Linked DNA regions of Astyanax mexicanus. The protein of the gene in region 1 interacts with the protein of each later gene in a biochemical or structural test. Links are inferred from orthologs where the notes say so. Each region holds a gene or a part of one and is shown on either strand. Other genes may lie near its edges. The genes, in order: hmga1a and prmt6.

What was found.
Region 2: of the proteins of hmga1a (region 1) and prmt6, one has a biochemical effect on the other in vitro, tested with the Homo sapiens proteins (2 studies listed by BioGRID, with this or other methods). The link is inferred for Astyanax mexicanus from reciprocal best matches to the Homo sapiens genes HMGA1 and PRMT6.

What each region holds. Positions count from the first base shown.
Region 1 is NC_064420.1:49,603,163-49,610,977, forward strand, and holds the start of hmga1a (high mobility group AT-hook 1a), read right to left. Parts: upstream 3,135-7,815; 5' UTR 2,993-3,134; intron 1,162-2,992; 5' UTR 1,153-1,161; coding exon 1,066-1,152; intron 1-1,065. UniProt on the Homo sapiens protein: HMG-I/Y bind preferentially to the minor groove of A+T rich regions in double-stranded DNA. It is suggested that these proteins could function in nucleosome phasing and in the 3'-end processing of mRNA transcripts.
Region 2 is NC_064413.1:55,037,151-55,044,582, reverse strand, and holds prmt6 (protein arginine N-methyltransferase 6), read right to left. Parts: upstream 2,569-7,432; 5' UTR 2,505-2,568; coding exon 1,434-2,504; 3' UTR 555-1,433; downstream 1-554. UniProt on the Homo sapiens protein: Arginine methyltransferase that can catalyze the formation of both omega-N monomethylarginine (MMA) and asymmetrical dimethylarginine (aDMA), with a strong preference for the formation of aDMA.

The DNA.
Region 1 (7,815 bases):
TTCAAATTTGTTCCATTGTAATGCAGAACAGAGTCAACATAACTAATGTAAGTTGCATGAGCTCTTTCGTAAAAAAAAGGGATAAATTAAATTGTAGAGATGGCCATATCTTTAAAAGTAATGTCTGATAAAAAAATATATAATAATAAACACAAAAACATAATCATTAACTTTGTGCATTAAATGCACCGCCTAAAATGTAACACATTTACTGTAAATTTGCTGTAGGTAAAACAATTTAAGAATTTAAGGACCTTGTTAAAACCCTTTTTAATAAAATGTAATTGATTACACAAGATTACTCATTTTAATGACTCATGCATTAAATACACAAATTACTGAGTATTTATAAAACTACAGGAGCCCTAGTGCTGTAAATGTAGTACTGCAGCCTGTTACATATGTGTCACTATATCTTTCTCTATTTAGTCCAGCACATGTTTACAGGTGATGCTTGCTGGTTTTAAAACAGTTTATTTTGTATAGAAATAAACTATATCATTTTAAGATCAGTGCAACTCTAAAAGTTAAAACCTAAAAATGCTTTGTGCATTCTACTGAATGTCCTTTTACTACAAGATACGACAATTTCATATATTTCACTGTATTCATTCAAGTACGAGCTGCTATGAATTGTGTGTACTTTAAAAAGTAAGTTGAAGTACTTACTTTTTTGCCATATTGTTTAGTATTGATTCTTACCAGTAAAAAGGAAATGAGTCATGCCATTTCCTCACATGCAATGACACCTATTGTGAAGAACACTCTGTGCATTAGCTCAAAACCTCAGCATTTGCAGAGCATGTAGGTTTTACTGGTTTACCTCGTGCCCCAACTTTTAATCAAGTAGGTAGTATAATCTGTTTAACGTCTGTTTAATTCACATTTGGATACCAAGAATTGTAATACTTTAACTTGTTTGGCATAAGCATCATTCTACATCAAATTTAGCATTATAAAATGTTATTAATAACTACTGTTATTTTGTGAGAATTTCCTTTTTTGCATACGCTTGTACCACACTTAGTTATCTAGAATTAAGTATCTTGCATTACTGCACATTACCTGTGGGTGCTTCCTTGGTCTTCCACGGCCTCTCTTCTCTGCTCCATCCTTATCTTTAGGAGACATGGCGTCCTTGGCGTCACTCATGTTGACTTACTTTGGGAAAGAGAAATAAGAAGAAATCAATGCATGCACACCTTCAGTTTTTTAGTCCTGCAGCTTTAAAACTGCATGCACACTGCAGTCTAGAACCCTAAACCAAGGAAAGAAATTTAAATAGCTGGCAAGCAAAATCTCTTGTTTATGCAACTTCTCCCAAAGTGAGCAGTCTGATTACTAGATGCAAAAGCAAAATAAATAATAATAAAAAAAAAAAATCACAATTTGTGCATGCATGTAAGTAGCTACCTACACATATTTAATGTATAACAAATCATGCATCAATAAAATTATTTATTTTTCGCATGCATCAAAACCCTTCAAATCTCAATTTAATTCATACTATGCTATAGTATACTACACTAATAGTGTTAAAGCAAAACAAAAGCCTGTATAATCTAGTCTACACGTTTTAAAACAAGTTAGCTCACACTAGCTGGCTAAATCGAGGCAATGCTGATTACTAGCTACAGATACCCCTGTGGCTGCAACAGCATTGAAATTGAAAGCACAACATTTGCATGAATTTAAAAAGAAAGGAACTAATAAAAATAGCTTAAACTACATACACTCCAAAAATAAGTTTATCGTGCATCAATGAAGAGTGCTTCACGTGCTTCAAACTCTTAACTCGACACAAAAGCTAAAGAATAAGCAGGCTACAACTTCTATACACATATTTAAAATGCTTAAACTTGAAAAAAATAAAAATGCACGCACTATAGCTGGCTACATAACTACAAAATTCTCAATGAACCATGCATCGATAATACCTTATCTTACGTGCTTCAAAGCCCTTATTATCTCGTGTTAATCTCGAGAGCTACCATTGCTGGAATAAAGCTGATAACATCCCCATTTTAAGCACAAGTTAGCTACAGCCTTAGCCAATTCCAGAATCCAAAAAAAAGCAGTTTACTCGCTACGGATGCCCGCGTGGCTCCAACAGCACAAAAATAAAGCGAAATTACAACATATGCATGTATTTATATCACTACACAGACAGAATAAATAAGCAGGCGTGCATTATGAAATATTATAATAAAATAAAAAATTAAAAGCATGCACGAGAACAAAAATAAGTAAATACATGCAAATGCTTTAGTTAGTGCATAGGCGTGCGTGAATGCAAGCATGCATGTATGCATAAGCCCAGACTGGCGCCAGATTGCATGCATTTGAGCGCCAAAAACACGGTGGCGCACAAACAACAAAAGGCACCCTAAACCACCCTGTTTTTTGTTGCTTTTTTGGAAGAACGTGCGAATGCAGCACGATTAATCGATTAAATTAATTTAATCGCGCTCGAATCGACTTAAAAAGCTGGTTTAAGTGCTTTAATCGTGCTTTAACACCGTGCCAAAGGCGGTTTTTTGTATTAGCAGCAGCAGCACGTTGCATTGAACAATGAAGCACGAGCCACACACTAAAGGCTTTAGCTATAGCTCGTTATGAAGCTACTGAGCATGCGTGGTGCTAAGCTAGCGCCAAACTAGCTAGCCCTGCACGTAAATACACTCGATTTTAGACGGATTTACAGCGAATTTACTGCAAATTCACAATGAATCACGCATCAGAAAAATTGTTAACACGTTTTACAACGCGTACCTCGACTCAAACTCGAAGAAGGAGCTGAAATAAAGCAGATAATCGCCGCTAAAGTCGCTGTAAAGAACGGTCGCATTTTTTTAAAGCACGAGTTAACCTGGTTAAACCCCCCCTGTGCTTTATATGGATAGTAAATCAGAATATAAAAGGGTAAAATAAGGTTGTGAACAGGAGATAAAGCAGAATTTAGGAAGTTTAAATGAGTAAATAAAGGAAGTACCTGGTCTGGAGCTAAGCAGTGCGGCGGTGAGAAGGCTGAGGGCAGTCCCAGGCTGGGTGCGTGCTGAGCGGTGAGCCCGGTGTGCGGGAGTGAGGCGCTGCTGAAGGCCCGGCTGTCTCTCAGGGCATTTTAAACAGGCTTCCTCACGGGCCACAGCGAGGTGGGCGGGGTTATATATGGTAATTAAGCAGGGGACTATACACAAAAGATCACCTTAACATCATTTACACAATATTATTCAATATTACATAATATAAGGGTGTATTTTCAGAGTTAAGACAATTCAGAAGTGGAAAGTAACTTATTACATTTACTCATTTACTCACATTACTGTAATTGAGTAGATTTTATGAGTAATTTGTCATTTTTAAAGTAGTTCTTTTACTCAAGTACATTTTGACACAAGTAATTTACTTCGCTACATTGGAAAACTCTCCCCGTTAAACTGAGTAAAAAATAAAATGCTGGGGAAAAAAAAAAAACAAATTGTCTGAATTTAAAAAAAAAAGTTTTCCCATCAATATGTGCTTCTTTACGGCACTGCGCATGCGTCGACCAACATTTTTGTTTGGTTTTTTGTATTTTTTTATGTTTTTCATAATAATTCCTGAAGTTTTTATTGGGAACATTAAACATTAATCTGCTTGGATGTTAAAAACAAAACAAAACATGTAAATCATTTTAAAAACAGTTAAAGCATAGCAATGAAAAGTTAAACAAATAATAATGAACTGTAAATCTATAAAAATACAGTTAATAGTCACCTATATGACCATAACTTTTTAACAAGTAAAGAAAAAAATGGATCATAGAAACCTATGCCACTTGTTCTTGAAAATGTTTTGTAGGGTGGTCTGAACGAATACTGGTCCAAATTATTTAATTTAATATTTATTTAATTTATGATTTGTTGATTTTTTTTACATCAAATAAATAAAAGTAACTATGTAACTTTTACTCAAAGTACATTTTAAATTGATTATTTTTTTTACTTTTACTCGAGTAGATTTTTAGATGGGTACTTTTACTTTTACTTTTATTTTTAGCAAAGTGAAGGTACTTTTACTTAATTAGAATTTTTCAGTACTTTTTCCACCTTTTTCACAGTGATTTTTTTATTACATTTATTTATTTTCAAAATTTAGGCCTCTCTCCCAAAAAAATGGTAAATTGTGTTTGTGAAAAGTTTTTTTTTCTTTTTTATTGAAGTTTAAAAGAGTTACAGTGATAAACCGAAAAAGAATGAAAGCAGGAAAAACAACAACATATAAACAACTATCTCAAAGGCAAGTAAACATTCCAGAGATCCGCCACAAGATTTTCTCAAATTATTATTATTATTATTATTATTATTATTATTATTATTATTATTATTATTATTATTATATTTTAATATTTTTTTCAACACATTTCTTTTTTTCCTTAAATCAAATCAAATCAAATTGTAATGCTTTTAGGGATCTACCTTTTTTTTATTCAATCAGGGGCCCATTGACGTTTTAGGATCAGAGTTTATAAAGGAGTTTATAAATAAGATGGCAGTGTGATGGTCAAAAGTTAGTTATCATTGTATACCATCAGTGGTATGACAATACTATTAAACACTTATTACTCAGGTAGAAGTATATTAGTATATTCTAGGGTTTTAAAATGTTTCTGTAGAATTTGAAGTATCAACTCGAGTTTTTACTCAAGGAAAATTAAATAAAATAAAAAATAAACTGCAATAAAAAAAGAAGAAATAAAGTGGGTCAAAGGTTAGTTCCACAAAGGAAGTATTTATTTTTCATAATTATCACTGTATCAGTGGTATAAAAATGTTTTATTAAAATTACAATACTGTTAAACACTTTTGAACTCTCTAATTTTTGGCTCGATAGATAATTTGAACACAAACTTTCACTGCGTCACAAATTCTTAATGAATGGACCAAAGGTAGAAGCTGAAGCTTTACTACTAAACTACTTAAAGTATAAAAGTGGTGTCAGAGGAAAAGGAAGAAGAAGCTAAAGCATCAACTTAAGCTTTTACTCTTTAATTAAAAAGAAAAGTACTGGTTTAAAAACTAATTAAAGTATAAAAATAAAAGTAATATAAGGAAAAATGGCATTAAAAACAAAAAGAAGAAATAAACATTCTAAAAATGACAATATTATTAAACACTTTTTTGCAGTTTATTTTTGTATAACATTTACATACATTTTTAGTTTGCTAATGCTACATAATGTGAACACATATACTGCCCCTTACACTGTGTCACAATTTCCTAATAAATAGACCAAAGTTGTGAGAAGTATTTCCATTTATTACTCAGGTAGAAGTTTAAGGAAAAATGCCATTAAATGCCATTAAAAATCAAAATGAGGAAATAAACTGTGATTAAATAACAAGGAGAAAAATAATTATCATTGTATCAGTGGTATAAAAAAGTTGGTATTCCTAAAATGACAAAACTATTAAACACTTATCGCTATTATTTCTCTCTATTTACCCATTCATTACTCTGTATAGGTAGAAGTATAGATACTATGGTTTAATAAAATACTTCTGTAGCTGTTGAAGTTTCAACTCAAGCTTTTTACTCTTTAAGTAAAAGTTTAAATGTACTGATGTTAAAACTGATTTAAATATGAAAGTAAAAGTAATATAAGAGGGGAAAATGCCATTAAAAATCAAAAAGAGGAAATAAACTGATTTTTAAAAGCAAAAAAAAAAGAAACAAATGTTGGTCAAAAGTTAATTTATTATAATTATCATTGTATTAGTGGTATAATTCATTTGAATCCTTAAAATTACATTACAGGGCAAATCAATGTTTCCTTTACTACATAATTTGAACACACAAACTGTCCCTTACACTGCCTCACAATTTCTTAATGGATCAATAGCAGAGAAATAAATTCTGCACCTAACATATGAGTTTACGCATAGCGTCCATTCCCTTGCCCTATACTCTACTCAACTTAAGTTGCTATGGCTGTTTACGATCCAATCAGCAACATAATAATATCATATATACGTAAGATTTTTAGAAACGTTAAATAAGCAAAATTAAAATTTTATATATAGTCCAATATAAATTTGGGCCTTCTAGAATTATGCTATATAATAATGTATAGAAAAACATGATTCTTCGATAGAACATACTATTGCTCAAGTCTTATCCAAGATACTAGTACCTGTTTTAGTAACTGTTACTACACTCTTAACAAACAATAGCAGTGTCACAGGTTTCATGCTGTAAAATGATTAGACTTTAGCTCCTGCCACAATAAAGCTTTGTGTTTAAGTCATATATTATTCTTTTGATGTGTTCGGCACTCTGAGAGTATAAAAAAAGTGATTCAGACTTTTTATGTAACACTTTAAACTTTAATCTACTGGCATAACTCTAAACAATTTGATACTCCCTAAAACGGAACCCTGTGGAACTCCATATATAAAACCTTAAACTAAACGGTTACCTAATAGTCCTAAAAAAGCTCCTGCAGAAGGATTATTAACTCCTATCATAAAGCTACGGTTCAAGGGGTAAAGTCCATTCAGATTCAACACTCAGTGCTGTACAGATAACATAATAAACTAGTTTGTGTTCCAACAGTAAAGCAAAGCAAACTCACAAAGGTTACTCACACAAAAAGATTGTACCACTCAATTTATTACTTTCAGGAACTAAACTTTTACTTTATTTCCAAGTATTTTTAACATTTATATTAATCTGTTTATTGTTCATTGAATTACTATTCAGTCTAACAGCATAATGTGCCTAAGAATATAAGAGGAAAAGATCAAAATAAAGAGGAAATAAAGAGAAATAAGCATTAATCATCTTAAAATATCAATAAAGGTACTCAAAACCACCACTTACTGTCAGTATTTCAAATGAATGACTTTGTCTCTTAAAAAACTAAAATTATATCAATATAATTGCTTGGTTTTAGACTCACCTATCCTATATATATAAGTATTTTTATATATTCATTTATTATAATTGTGTTTTAGGTCATTTAGCTGATGCTCCATAGCGACAAGGTTATTCCTATTACAGAAATGGGAAAATGTAGTGTTAGGAGTCTTGCCCAAGGGTTCTTATTGATGTAGCACAGTGTACTAAAATGTGAAGGACATCTATTTTTATTTTAAATATATAGATTTTGTCCCTTTATCAGTGATATACTGGATGCAATAAGCAGTAAGAGAAATATCATCAAAAAGTGAAAAAGTTTTTTGGTTTCCTTTTTGTATTGGAGGTTTTTGTTAACACATTAAACTCTGTATGATGGCCCCACTTCAGTTCTTCATTTCATAATTAACATTCATTTTTATACGCCCTAAAATTGAACCCTGTGGGTCTTTTTTTATTTTAAGGGAATGGGCTTTCATTGTTTGTTTTTGCAAACAAATACAAAGGACAAAAAATATGAAGGACAATTGTTGGTTTTAAAGTATATACAGTACCAGTCAAAAGTTTGGACACACCTCTTCTTCTCATTCAATTCAGTGTTTTTTTTTTTTTTTTTCAATTTTTCGATTTTCAATTTTTTTTTAAACAAACCAGAATCTGTTTTATACTTTAAATTCTTCTAAGAATTTTAATCTCAGTATCTTCATGAGGGAGAGTCACATGGTATAGTTTTCTCAGCATCTTGAAGGAAGGAGTTCCTGGAGGTGCTGAACAATAGTTGCTGCTCCAGCTCATCCCAATTAAATCACCTCAAATCATCTAAATCTCAGTTCATCAAGTTTAGATCAGGGGATTAATGTGGAGGAATAACACTTTTTTTACTGTTTACTACATAATTCTATATGTGTCCCTTAATCGT
Region 2 (7,432 bases), on another chromosome or scaffold:
AGAACCAACGCTGGTTATCTCTAAGAACTTCATATGTTTAGATGAGGTATTCTAGTTTTGTATTCAGTACTTCTGTGAAGCCTCTGAACCAACAATGACCATAATACAGATAAAATAATGGTGTTTCAAGTGTTTTTCATAGAAACACCACATTTGATTCCAAACAGAACCATGTTTGTAATAGAGATATGTAGGAAAAACAGATAAATTTCCCCAAATTTATAAATCTACAGTACCAGTCAAAAGTTTGGACACACCTCTTCTCATTCTGTGTTTTCTATTTTCTGTTTGTATGATTTTTATAGGAGTTCAGGGGATTAATGTGAAGGACTAATACATATATATTTTTTTACTGTTTACTACCTAATTCCATGTGTTCCTTAATCATCTTCATGTCTTTACTCTTAATCTACAATGTAGAAAATCAATTAAACAAATATTAAAGGTGTGTCCAAACTTTTGACTGATATTTTATATTATTTTGTGGAACCAAACGTTGTTTAAATGGAAGTTAAAGGCCTGTGGGTCTATAATATAAACGAGGTTAAGCAGGGTGTGTATAAAGACATGGGTGGATTTTATTACAGTCTGCAATGTGTTTTTTTTTTGTTAACAAGCTTTTCGTTTAATACTTCATTCATTCATTCATTCATTCATTCATTGACCAGAGAAGAACTTCCCAAACCCCTCCCCCCTCCCATAATTCTCCAATATCATTGGTTCTCAACCATGGTCCTAGAGTATACCAGTGCCTAGATAGGGATTATAACTCTCTATCTAGCTAGGAGTGTGCCATATCGTACGCAATAATATCGCCAACGATATTATATAAATATATATAATTATCATCAGATCAGGGTACTACTTTTTTTTTTTTTTTTTTTTACTGTTTTTATCAAAAGAAAAAAAATCACACTGTTCTCATTTCCCATTATATTATATATCTACTAGAGACTTTAGATTATATCTGTTCAGTATCATTAATTTTACTGTAATTCTGAATATATGGAGATATTTGCATATGGAGTGCGTTATCAGTAGTATCGTAATATTCTGAATTATTGACTTCAGTTACTGTAAATACTGTAGTTTTTTTTTTAAATATCTCAGTTAGGAGTGTGCCATATCATATCAAATGCAATAATAACATTTATTTTTGATTCTGTTGCAGTAGTGTATACTTGATTTTTTATTATAGTGTATAGTCACATCGCCAAGAGTATCGTTATCGCGAAAATACCATAAAATTTTGTGATATTATTTTAGTGCCATATTAACCACCCCTACTCTTTTTATTGTGTTTATTTCATGTATAATCAAGGTATACTCCAGAACCAGGGTTGAGAACCAACTTGAAGAGCAACACCACAAACTTTCCTACTACTACTACTGTTGATTCTCAGAGTGTCCATCAGGTATCCTCCAAATGTCCATCAGGTATCCTCAGAATGTCCATCAGGTATGGAGAAAGTCTTGGACTTCAGCTTGTGCTCCCCAACAGTGTAGTCCACATGGATGCACACATATCTAGAACTCTTCTCAGAAGGGTACATGCTAATGTTCCCCTCCACCTTCGTGTCCTGCCTCACGTCCACCGGTTCATCCAGGTACAGCACGGCCTGCTTCCAGTGCGTCTCCGCTTTGAACGGCGACGTGGACAACACCAGCGGCGGCATGTCCTCCGCGGGAAACGTGACGGTGAACCAGACGCACAAGGCGTTCAGGCTGGACGAGCCGAAGCACTGACAACAGAAAGACCCGCTCACTCTCTTCAGTTCCTCCAGAGTGACCGTACGCAAGTCCAGCTGGGCGAAGCGACACGGGTGCGACAGCACGTCCTCCACCGTCACAGGATGCACTGCGATTTCGCCATTAAGGACGCAGGACCGGGCGAATTCGGCCATGCAGGACATGTCCACCCCATACTGTCCCTTCACCGTGTCCCAGAAGTTCAAACGCTCTTCTGCTACCAGGTCGCTGATTGGCGCTACAAATAGCTCCGCCCTCTCAGGCAGAATTAGCCCCCCAGGCTTCAGCCAGCGGTCGCGCGCGGTGATTACCGAGTTCAGCATTGATTCATGCAGCAGCGCGTATCCCATCCACTCACTCACGATGACGTCCACGCGTTCCGGAAGCTCCACGCTCTCCACGGTGCCGCGGATCACCTGCACGCGGTCCTCCACGCGGTTCTGACGCACGATGCGCGCGGCCTGCTCGGCTATAGAGCTAGCCTCCACCGCGTACACCCGGCGCGCGCCGGCCTGCGCGCAGAATACGCTGAGCACGCCGGTCCCCGCGCCCACGTCCAGCACCGCCTTCCCCGCGAGCGCCGCGGCGCAGCGGAAGATCGCGCGCCGGTACGTGTCCGTGCGGACCGTGTCCGCGAGCATCTCCTCGTGGATGCTGACATCCGCGTAGCTCTGGAAGTACAGGCTGTCCTGCGCGCTCCCGCCGCCGCTGCTGTTGTTATCTTGTCGGCGCTTCTTCGCCGCGCTGTGGGACATCTTCCTATCTCCGCTCCTCGCGCGCGTGCACAGCGCCGAGCACACCGCGCGCGCTGCTTCCGTGTTTCCGTGGTTCCCCCTCCGCGGTGCATTGTGGGGGTGGTAGTTTTTTTTTTTTAGATCTCGTACTTTTTTACCTTTTTTATACTCTTTTTTTATTTGTATTTAGCAGTTTTTAATCGAAACAACCAAATAAATAAATAAAGAAAAACATATTTGTTAAATTTCATTTGTGAAATAATTATGAAATTGTATAAAATGGAAAAAAAATATTTTATTTTATTATATTTTATATATATCTCACATATCCATATATATATTTATTTTTAGTATGGTAATATATGGGATAGTCTTAGTAGAAAAAACAGCAGCAATATTTACAACTATGGTAACATATTCAAACATGAAACTACAAAAACAAAAGCCTAAAGATGAACAGTATTTACTAAAAATACATATAGATGTATATTATTAATATTATTATTGTTATTATTATTATTATTATTATTATTATTATTATTATTATTATTATTATTATTATTATATTTTTAATGTTTCTCACATATAAAGAAATACATGTCCATATATTTATTTTCAGTATTTTAGCAGTAGTAGTAGTTGTAAAAATAGTAGTAATATTTATTATATACAAAAATAATTGCAGCAATTACAACAACAGTAATTTAAACATGAAACTACAAAACAAAGCCTAAAATCGAACAGTATTTAATAAATATAAATATAGATATATTAAATATTATTTTATTATTTTTTATGTATCTCACATAAAATGCAATACATTTATTTTCAGTATTTGAACAGTAGTAGAAGTAGTAAAAAGAGCAGCAACAACAATAATTATAACCTATTCAGACATAAACTACAAATCAAAGCCTATAAATCCGACAGTATTTTATAAATATATAGCTGTTTAGATTAATATTATTATAATTTTTTATGTCCATATAACAGCCTATTCAGACAAAATCTACAGACAGACGCTAAAATAACGAGCAGTATAAAAAAGCACAGATCATTTATAATTTAAAGATAAGAAGATGTTATTAAAACGATCTCCTCCTGTTTTTATGTTGCTATAGAAACAGTGGGCGGGGTTTTGCGGTGTTTTGCGGTGTTTTGTTGTTCCCTTGCCCCTCCCCCACTTTCCCACCGTTTCCTCTTTGAGCGAGTAAGAAGCGCCGTCTTGCGCAGTGCACTATGGGAGTTGTAGTGTCTTAAACTCCACAGAACGAACATGTGAAGATAAGCTTCTATACAAAAGACTACATTTCCTAAAATTGTGTAGTTTTTAATCTGAACGACAAAAAAACAATACACTGATGAAGAAAATAAATATGTTCATACAGTTATAAAATAATTGTGAAACTGTATGAAAATGTAAAAAAAAATAATACTTATTTTTCCCCACTTGTTTAAAAACGTGTCTCACAAACAAAAACATTTCAGTAAATATGGGGGACCAGCAATATTTACAATAACAATAACAGCACATTAAGTCATTAAACTACAAAACTACAAAAATAAAAACGCTAAAAAATGACAGTATAAAACAGAGGTCACTAATAGGTGGACCGCGCTCCGGGTCCGGACCCAGACGTTGTCCAATCCGGACCCAAATCCAAAATAAACTACTGAGAAGGATTTTTAAAAAGCTGATATTCTGGTTCAGCAAACATTTCTCCATATATTGTACGATTTATCATTCATGTAACTATTATCATGACAGGCAGGCCTGAATCTAATATAAATAAAATCAAATAGAATAAATATAACATTTTGAAACAAAGTCAAAATACAGATTCACATTATTAGACTTGATATGTTAAATTATTGAGGGTGTTTCCATTTATTTTATGATAGGCTGATAATGTAATTATTGTGATAGGCCTGTTTAAAACAATACATATTGTTCAAATATACTGAATAGTATGTGTAATTTGTTTTGTCTTTCAGTTGTTGATAAAACACTGACAGAACTACTATAGGCTTCTTCAGTAAACAGAATAAAACACTGAATTATAACACAAGTTAAAAATGGTGACGGTCCGGACCTTGGCCTGATGAGATTTTCTCTAACTGGACCAAACTGAATTCTAATTAAATACCCCTGGTATAAAAGAACACATGATTTATATTAGTGTTTAGAAAATTACAGACATTGTGGGCGGGTTGTTTCCCACTGTTTCCTTGCTTGGTGCAGTGCATTATGGGAGTTGTAGTGTCTGAAATGCCACAGAACTCATTTTAGGAGATGAGCTTCTTTACAAAAAACGTCTTTACCACATTCCACATGTAGTGTTTTATAGTTCTTTATTCTAAAAAATGAAAAAAAAAATATTAGTGCTTAAATTAGGTAGTTAATCACTGTTAAGTCAAATCATTTAAAGTCACTTAAATTAACGGAATGAATTAAGTTGCTGCACACTAATATACAGATTATTCATTTTATTTTACTTTATTTTACTTTATTATTTTTTATTTTACTCTTATTACTAAGATAATAAGATAATATATGTTTAAATATGTTTTAAAGAATAACTACACTAAGACATCATTAAATGATTATGATATATGATTATGAAATAATGAGACATGATTAAAACGAGATGCAAATATCAATAGAATTAAGATATCTGATCGTATTTACGATATACACGATAGGATTTCGGGTCTTGCTCATGAATATTCACCAGGAGGCAGTGAGACAAACACCAGTTAGAAATGTTTTAAAATAAAGACATTTTTACACTAATAACAGTCTTTACAGTGGCATATGTTACTTTTACAACATGTGTAATAATGCCCTGCTAAGTGCAGTTCAGCCTATACTGACCTAGTCTTAGTCTCTGTAAAACACCAAATCCACCGGAGATCCTATTTAAACCTATAGATACTCACACACAGAGGTGGGTAGTCCAGGTCCAGAAAGTAAAAATCCACCCTTAACTAGTGTAAACAGAACTGTTCTAAACAAACACCTACTTATCTCAATTGTAATTGGCTGGTGGTGTTTTTCCTCCATAGACTAATTCTAACCATTTGTTTCTTAGCTCTGAATTACTGGGTAAAGTATATAAACACTGATGTGTTATTCGCACAAATAACACAGGAATGAACTGCATGCTGTTCCTAGCGCTGTTATTTAGCTCCTATCTGACGAGACGGCGTCGCTGCCCGGCTTCAGCTCTGCCTGTGGGCGGTCCGAGCCGAGGTGGGTCGGGCCATGAATACTAATTCACGGGTTGATGTTGACACGGTGCTCCCAGCACTTCAATCAGTATCAGAGAGTAAAGACTGCTCCACGGCTCCTCTGATACAGTATGCATTACTGTCTCCAGTGTCTCAACACGGTCTGAGGACACTCAGTAACACAGTCACTACAGAGCTACAGAGAGGACAGGCCTGTTATGTAACAGACTGAGGGAAGGGGACGTCCTCCTGAAGACGCTACACTGCTGGACGTATTTGATTAGACTGTTGGCAGCAGTTCTGTAGGTGCAGTATTCTGTGTTTGTTCAGTTTATTGAATCAAATAAAGGAATTAGACACGATTAACAAGCCAAGGAACGACTTCCACTAAATGAAAACAACAAATTAAAACATCACATTTAATTGGCTGAACAGCAGAACAACAAAAGCGGCAGCAGCACTCAGGTTTAGCACACTGCATCTGGCAGACTGTCAAAATAATAAAAAAATGGAATACAAAGTTTTTACTACAAAGTATAATTTATTACAGATTTTACACTGTGAAGTTCAATACATTCTATCATTTTTTCTATACAGTAGCGTGTTTTGTTTACACCAGCACTATTTTGTCCAGTTAAAACGGACTCTGATTGGTTTGTACTCTTAGTGCGGTTCGATTGAGCAGGTGTGAACACAGGAATTGCACTTGGGTGTGGAATAAAACAATCTGGTTTTGATCTGACCCAGCTACGAACAAGCACTGGAAGTTAATCTACACAGATTTCCCTCCTGAAAACTGTTTATTTGGGTGAATAAAGCGCTTCCGTTTATTTACAGTAAGATTAGATTTCCAGATTTCCATTGAGGCTGGGTGCAGCAGCTTTAGCATTAGTGGCTAACTGCTAGCACTAGCCATTGTTAGAGCTAGCAAATGCCACCTGACAGAGCTACATTGAGGACCCTGAGTGTTCAGGTAAGCAGGGCAATATATTAGCTAGTGGATCATAGCATGTAGCTTGTTTTAACACAGTAAACACAGAGCAGACTACAGTACGATATACTCACCTCTGAATGGCAAAAGAGATAGCGCTTAGTGAAGTTAGCGGCTAATGCTAATGCTGCTTCAGCAGTGCTTGCCATGGTTAGCAGCAGGCTACAGGCTAATAATACTTACTTACGAACAGCTAAAGAGCTAGTGCTTAGTGAAGTTAGCGGCTAATGCTGCCCCAGCAGTGCTAGCCGGGGTTAGCAGCAGGCTACAGGCCAACAATACTCACCTCTGACTGTAGCTAGCACTTAGTGAAGTTAGCAGCTAATGCTAATAATTCTCCAGCAGTGCTAACCAGGGTTAGCAGCAGGCTACAGCCCAATAATACTCACCTCTGACTGTAGCTAGCACTTAGTGAAGTTAGTGGCTAATGCTAATGCTGCCCCAGCAGTGGTTGGCAGCAGGCCACAGGCATGTAATACTCACCTCTGAACAGCTAAAGAGCTAGCGCTTAGCATGGTTAGTGTCTTATGCTAATGCTGCCCCAGCAGTGCTAGCCGGGGTTAGCAACAGGCTACAGGCTGATAATACTTACCTCTGAATGGCAAAAGAGCTAACGCTTAGCTCTGTGGTTAGCAGCTAATGCTAATGCTACTCCAGTCTCGGTGCTTAATACCTGACTGGTAGAATTCATACTTAAGAAGCACCGGATTATAAGGTTATTTAAAGG